Drosophila melanogaster: one gene and its partner. The protein of the gene in region 1 interacts with the protein of each later gene in a biochemical or structural test. Each region holds a gene or a part of one and is shown in the gene's direction. Other genes may lie near its edges.

What was found.
Region 2: of the proteins of ems (region 1) and Hipk, one has a biochemical effect on the other in vitro, tested with the Drosophila melanogaster proteins (one study listed by BioGRID).

The regions. Positions count from the first base shown.
Region 1 is NT_033777.3:13,900,078-13,903,828, forward strand, and holds the start of ems (empty spiracles), read left to right. Parts: upstream 1-1,775; 5' UTR 1,776-2,101; coding exon 2,102-3,236; intron 3,237-3,526; coding exon 3,527-3,751. UniProt on the Drosophila melanogaster protein: Acts as a homeotic selector gene controlling antennal and mandibular segment identity.
Region 2 is NT_037436.4:544,282-548,032, forward strand, and holds the start of Hipk (homeodomain interacting protein kinase), read left to right. Parts: upstream 1-1,777; 5' UTR 1,778-1,917; intron 1,918-3,200; 5' UTR 3,201-3,497; coding exon 3,498-3,751.

The DNA.
Region 1 (3,751 bases):
GCTGCAGGTCCTTCGAGTCCTGGAGCTCCTGCGGTGAGGTACTCAGCTCAGTGGGCGTGTGAAATTACCGAAAATACAAGGTAAATTGCGTTTTCTTTCAACTCAATTATGCTTGATTCGTCGAAATGTTGGCCGTCTGATTGCAAGGATTCTTCTAACCACAATTGATTAAATAGATATCAGAGTATTACTTCTAAATATTTATTTAATTTAATATTTTTGATATTTATATTTAATATTTATCATTTCGACCAATACTTTTTTTACTTATAATGAAGCTTTCACAAAATCAAAACTAAAGCTCAGATGCCGAGTTTCAAATCGAATTAGCTACACACACGTTTTGCAGATTAGACCGCAAATGAAACCGACTCAGCTAAAAATCGCTGAACTTTCGACAGCATTTCGCCTTGTAATCAAAATCCATTAGTCAACATAATTACGCTTTAATGGACTCGAAAGTTGTTTATGCCTTGCGTCGATTCGAACCGAAAGCTATGGGTAAATATGCGTGGCTTAATTAGCGGCCATAAAAATTTGATAGATTTTAATCTATCGCACAAGCTGTTGTTGTGCTCTCGCCGATTCCTAGCCCATTAATCTCAGAAATCCGGCGACGAATTTGACGGCTCCGGCTGATAACAGAGTGTGAAAATAGCACTACCGAATATTATTCCATTGTTTTTGAAAAACTCTTGGGGTTTGATAGGAAATGTTATAGTGTTGACCGAGGAAACGAAGTGAGACATTTGGCACGTCCCGACAATTGATGAACCTGCTCTGATTTTGATTTGGAACTGCGATTCGGACACTACATAAATTATGCAAACTTTGTCGTGTGCCAAAAAAAAAATGTAATGCCTGAAAATTAACATTTAAATCGTAGCGAAAAATAAACCCGGTAGCACATTTCATAAAACTGTCCCGATCAAGTTTCGTAGATGATTTATGGAAACAGCAAGTTTGAAGTGCATCCGTGGTGTGGAATTGCTAATGTGGACTGGATTGTCAGCTGTACGAAAACCGGGACGTTTTAAAATAGGGAAAGTTAATATATAATATCATAAATTAAATAAGTATTTTAAATTATAAATTTTACGCCATGTTGTTGAATGGGGTTTACGAACTTTAAAAACACCATTAACAAAATACTTATATTCCTTAATCTTTAGTTTTATGCAGAAATATATAAAGAGCGTCTAACAAATCCTTGCTAAACTATAAATTTGCACAACAAAAATCCCCCTGAGCAAGGGAAATATTTAAAACGCACATCCTCTGTAAGCCTCGAAAACCCTTTTCGAACTTCCTGCAAATTTGGCCAGAGTCCGCAAACAGAGACATTTTGCCCACCTGGCATTAGATTTCCATTTAGCGCTCGTTCCGGCCCAGAAATGCAACCGCAAAAACAAGAACTATGAATGGCAGTTTAAGCCAAATTACACAAAGGCCAAGAGCAACAACAAAGTCGTATAGTGGTGGCTGTTTGAACGGAAGCCATATGCAGAAAATTCGGTAAAGGCAGCGCACCGAACTGGACCCGCCCCTCGAAAAGCAGCCATTTCACTCGCTCCTTCGCAGCTAGGCCATATCTGCAGGGTAGATAAAATCCACAAGGCGCGCGCAAAGAAGACGGCCATACTACACCGAGCACAGTGCCTCCCGCTCTGGCCCGATAAACTGGTTTGGCCTGTACTGGCGAAGAGAGAAGACTCGCCGCAGCTCAGCTCTCTTCGAGTAGCGCACACTTGGTGGTGTTGCCGGGCTTACCGGATTTATTCAGACATCGAACGTCGTCGAGAGCACACGTCTATATTCTCCGTCTTCCGACACAAAAAATAAGAAAAACGAGCGCGTCGATCGCCGTAGAGCACAAGTCTTGACAACCCGAGTGTGTGTGTGATTAATAAAGTAACTAAACGTATATATGAAAGCGTTTCCAATGCGTCGCTTAGTGTGAGAAAATCAACGAAACATAGAGAGTTACAAATAAGGACTTCCCAGAGGATTAGACAAACAGAACAGATTAGATTAAACAGAAAACCGTGCTTAAACCCTCGAAAAAAAAGCCGCCAACATAGCCGAACTAACCGCCGTATTTATGACTAAGATGATTCCGCCGGTTCCCACCGCCGCTGCAGCCGTCATGATGCCCACACCAAAGCAGAAGATCGGTTTCAGCATCGAGTCCATTGTGGGCAATGATGTCAGCACCGCCGGCGGCAATTCGACGCCCGATCTATCCGGTCCCCAGAGTCCGCCGCCCGGCGAGCGCAATGTGCCCGGTTCGCCGCCCCAAACGCCACCAGCCACACTCACCTTGATCCCAGGCTCGCCCCCGCACCATCTGATGGCTCCTCCTGCCCACGGACTGCCCTATCCGCATCCGCATGCTCAGCAGCAGCATTTGCAGGCACCACATCCGCATCCGCATCTATCGCCTGCGCAGCAACATGTGCTCCACCAGCACCTCCTCATGCAGCAGCAACATCCGGGCACACCCAAGAGCCACCAGGACATTCAGGAGCTGCTGCAGAGGCTGCACCACAATGCCGCCATGGCCAGCGGCCTGAGTCCGCTGCAGACACGCCTCTCCCCCGAAACGGAGCAGCCCCAGATGGCCGTCTCCCTCAAGCGGGAACGCTCACCTGCACCACCTGCCATGGAGCAGGCCGAGAATCCCGCCCAGCGCATCCAGCCACCGCACACGCCTCCCAAATCCGTGAGCCCCCAGTCCTCGCAGCCCTCGTCTTCGCCCACTCTGCTGATCAGCAGTCCACATGCCACACCGCCACAGCAGCAACAGCAGCAGCCGCCCCCGAATTATCCAAAGCCCGCCATGATGCATCCCGGAGGAGCTGGACCCATGATGATGCCGGGCATGCCGCCCGCTGGACTCGTTCGCCCCTTTCCCATGGGACCCGGAGGACCACCGATGCCGCAGGGTCAGCCCGGCTTGCCGGACATCAAGGCGCTGCCGCCCTACATCAACGCTCCGCCGGAGCTGCCGCCTCAGCACAATCCGCATCTCATTGCCGCTGCCCAGTTCCAGATGGCCGCCGCCCTGCAAGCGGGTCATGTGCTTGGTCCAGCGGCCGCCGCCGCTGCTGCCGCCGGCCTGCCGCCCCATGCCGCCCAGTTTATGCCCAATCCAGGCATGGCCAGGGATAGCTATCAGCTGTACCCCTGGCTGCTCAGCCGCCATGGAAGGATCTTCCCACACCGATTCCCTGGAAGTAAGTATCTTTTGGAATGATTCTTTATATGCGAAACAAAAAAAGGAGATTTAGGGAAAAAAATAGTTCTTGGAGTCCAAATTGAAGCCAAAAAATGAGAAATTTCTTTAAAGTAATAATTCTAAACCTTCATAAATGTAATAAGAAATGAAAGATGCTAATATGTTTTAAATTAGTTTTGATGAGTCTCTTATAATTGCATTATATTGTCATTGCTAATTTATTGCTGTGAGTTATGATCTTAAATACCGATGACTAACCGAAACCCTTTCTTCTTTGCCTCTTTCAAGGTTTCCTGGTGCCCCCGTTCCGCAAACCGAAACGCATCCGCACCGCCTTCTCGCCGTCGCAGCTGCTGAAGCTGGAGCACGCCTTTGAGAGCAACCAGTACGTAGTGGGGGCAGAGAGAAAGGCCCTGGCCCAAAACCTCAATCTGTCCGAGACGCAGGTGAAGGTGTGGTTCCAGAACCGACGCACCAAGCACAAGCGGATGCAGCAGGAGGATGAGAAGGGCG
Region 2 (3,751 bases), on another chromosome or scaffold:
TAATCAGCGTTTGTCGATTCATCAAAGAAACCGCCGCCGGTTGCTCTCTCCACTCTCTCTCTCTCTTTTCCTCCATTCAAGGATACCGAAAGAGAGAGATCGAGAGAGTGCCCCCTCTCCTTCACACTTCCCTCATGGGTTTCCTATGTAAATCATTTAAAGGGAAATTGTTGCACAACTTTAACGAGTTGATTGGAGGGGGAGGGGTGAGGCTTACTGCTTGTGGGTTTTCCCGGCGCAACCCTCATTCCCCCAACCCACTCGCCCACTTTGGCAGCTGTCAATTAGAGCTTACAGGGAGAAAAAATGAAAACCCGAAGCTTCCATATGTTAGCTGTCCCTCCCACAGGTCTCCGCCCCCAACAGCTGTTGGAAAATGAGATTAGGAGGTGGGGGGTAAGTGGGGACCCAGCTTTATTGGCCTGTAATTGATGCCCAGGCTGCCAACCATATTGCTGATTGAATTGTGGCGTTGTCGCTGCAGAAAAGAAGAAGGGTGTGGATGCACAGTCCAGAGGACTGACTGCTGACGTCGCCACCGAAAGCAGAACCCGTTCAAGCTGCAGTTAAGCAAGTCTTCTGCGGGGAACCCCCGGGGACACAGACTTGTCGAACTCGCATCCTGCTGCGCTACATAAACCCCGAAAGTCCATGCCAGATTTAATGACAAAGGCCACCGCCCATTACAATGTTGCTTAACTACCATAATTATAAACAAAAATATAATATTATGTTTAAGGCTTACCTTCTCTTTACTTTTGTGCTTGGGGGAAATTGCAATTCTTTGAAGCGCTGGCTTATTTACATAAGAGTAATAGGGAATTCACCAGTTTAGTTACCTTTTGTTTGGTTGCGCTTTTCAAGTCTAGGTTTTCCTAAGAATTGTTCTCCATTCCTTATTTTCAGCATGCTGGAAACCATATGCTCTCTTTTGATCCTTTGGTGGAAAAGTACCCCCCGTACCTTTTCTTTGGCTCGGCTAAAAATGTGTTCAATCCACGCAGCCATTTCCATCTCGTTCTATATGTGTGTAATTAAGTCTGTCCACGACGCAAGTTTTCCTCAGCGCCTCTTTTTACCCGGCGGCTGCCCAACTAAACCACTTTGGCCCATTCGCACATCGCAACCCCCTCTCCTCGACCCACCTCAACAAAAAACAAAAAAAAAAAAAAACTATTTCACAAGGTGCCCCTTTGCCGGTTCTTGGCCTCCCTTTTGGCTTTCTCCGCCCCTTCCTTCTGCTTTCTGCTGCCGACGCAAATCCTTACGTGTCAAATGGAGCCCCTCACACTTTTGGATGGCGCCCGAACAGGGACATCCACGTAAGCAATCAAGCACTTAATCGGCTATCCGACGAAGGATTACCCCTTACTGGAATTATTCATACCGGATCATAAATTTGTACAGATAAGACCAGTTTAGAGACAGTACTATATAGTATAGTATAGTAAGTGAAAATCCCTAAACATTTACGTTAAGGTCGAAGCAGAGGATACCCAGGATATTATAGGGTAGCAAGGGAAGGAAAAACCAAAACAACAACCACAGAGAAAGTAAGCAAAAATAATTTCGCGATTCGTCCCCCGGGCAGAGCCCTAAAAGTCGCAATTTGAGGGGTGGAGCCCTTCTCTGGAGCGGCAGGAAGTGGGTAGTGGAAGAGCGGAGACCGGGCTTGCGCAGGCGCCTGGAAGAATCCGAAGCCGAGAAGAGCGGCGAGTGTCCGCTCTCTTTTTTCGGCTCTGTGGCAACAAAGTTTCGGTGCCTCAATTCTTCGATTCAGAGTCTCCACAAACGGCTTCGCGAGCGGACGTTGCAGCCACAGAAGATACAGCCACGGCCGTCGAGGAAGTGGCAGCTACAGAAAGCCAAGATATATATCTGCATATACATATGACTGGCGAAGCTGCTGCGAAAAAGGTGCAAAACAAATTAAGATGCATAAATAAACACCGGACTCGCTGGCAGGTGTTTGTGAACTCTGCTTGTGTGTGTGTGAGTGTGTGTGCGAGTGCGGTGCTGTGCGGTGAAATATTACGAAAGAAAACCTTTTATGTTTTGCAATTTTCCCGCAAACAAATCAACGAGCATAAATATTAATTTTGGCTACACCCAAAATGAGATGATGGACAATAACAGCGGCAAGAAGAAGCGCTTTCAGAAACTTGTTTTAGCCCGGTTTCGGATTTCTCCGTCTTCCTCTTCTCTTCTCGGCGACGTAGTTAACTAAGAGCCGTCGTATTAGACGTTAGTTAGAGAGTGCGTGTAAATTGTCGAAGGGATATTGTGTTTCCCAAAGCCCCATCTGAAATATGTATTCTCACTGTTCATCTCTGTAATGAAAGCTGTGAATTTATCAAGTTACTAATCGGTATTGTGCGGATAATGGCCATCAAAACCTTTTGAGCTACGTTTTTCGATTTTACATTAGGCAAGGGTATCCGTAGGATCCATTTACTCGCCAGCTGCAGAACGAAAATCCATTCAGCAAAACTGTCTCTCCCTTTTCCACTCGCTGAGCAATCCATTTAATAACTTTGGAACCGGCTTGTGTTTGCTTTAATTTGTTGTTGTTTTTTGTGGATTTGTTTTTTGGGTTTGGCAACGAAAGTTGCCAATTAGGTTTAATTTTAGGGGGCTTCGTAGAATTTTCAGCAAAGTGCGTAGAAAAGGGTTTCGTGGTGTGTATCCGTGTGGGCCAAAAGTGCGCTAGTGTGCGTGTTGTTTGTGTGCGGGGCCAAGTGCGTATCTCCCAAATGTTTTTATTGTTGTTTGCTTTTTTCGTTCTTTTGTGGTTTTCATTTTTCGACACCCGAAATGTGTTTGTCTTGTTTTTATAGTTTGCTCTCTTTCACGCCGCTTTTTGCGTAGTTTAAAAGTGGAATCAAGTAAAAAACAAAACAATTACAGTAGAGCCTAGATGAGGAAGTTCTGCGTGCAAGAAACATAAAGTTACCAAGTTGCTGTACAAGCCTTTCCAAGGCATTACAAAATTACTTAAAGCAAAATAAAGTTATTTAGTTCACTAGTTAGTCTCCACTGTCAATATTTGGACAACACATTTGAATGGAAAGTTTCAAAAGCGAATTAAAATATAAACGTATGAATGCCGGGCAGGTGTGCGAGTGTGGTGATATGATATTTTTGGTACGTGATTTTATTCGACCATGCTAATGGCTATTGTGTTCTCCCTCTACTTGCAGATTCTCTTTTAATTTGGCATAAATTGTATTTGTCTTGAAAAAAGCATATTCTTGTAAATATATCCTCTTCGTAAAATATTTTACTTAAAAGCCTTAAAATATTGAATTCACGTGAAATTTCAAACGGTGTCACTCGAAATTCGCCAGTGACTCGCCGCCACGTTTTGTACAAACATAGTTTGTAAACATAAGTTTGTAAGCGGCCGGAAAAAGGCGAACGGAACCCAAAAACCCCAATGCAAGCCAACTGAGTGCAAGGGAGACAGCCGACCACGTCGAGCGGGATAGCATGCGCCAATGAAAACGTCCTACCCCCCAAAAGCGTCCGATTTCGTTGACTACGCCGTTGCCGGGGGCGGGGGATCCGGATTCTGTTCGGGATTAGGAGCGGGACTTTCAGTCAGGGCGACGTCCTTCTACGGCGATCAAACGGTAACGGCAACTACGGACGGGACGCGTCACCAGGAACAACAACAACAACAACTGCAGCAGCAGCAACAGCAGCATATCCTAAGGCAACCTGCAACATCCGCATCGACTTCATCGGTAGC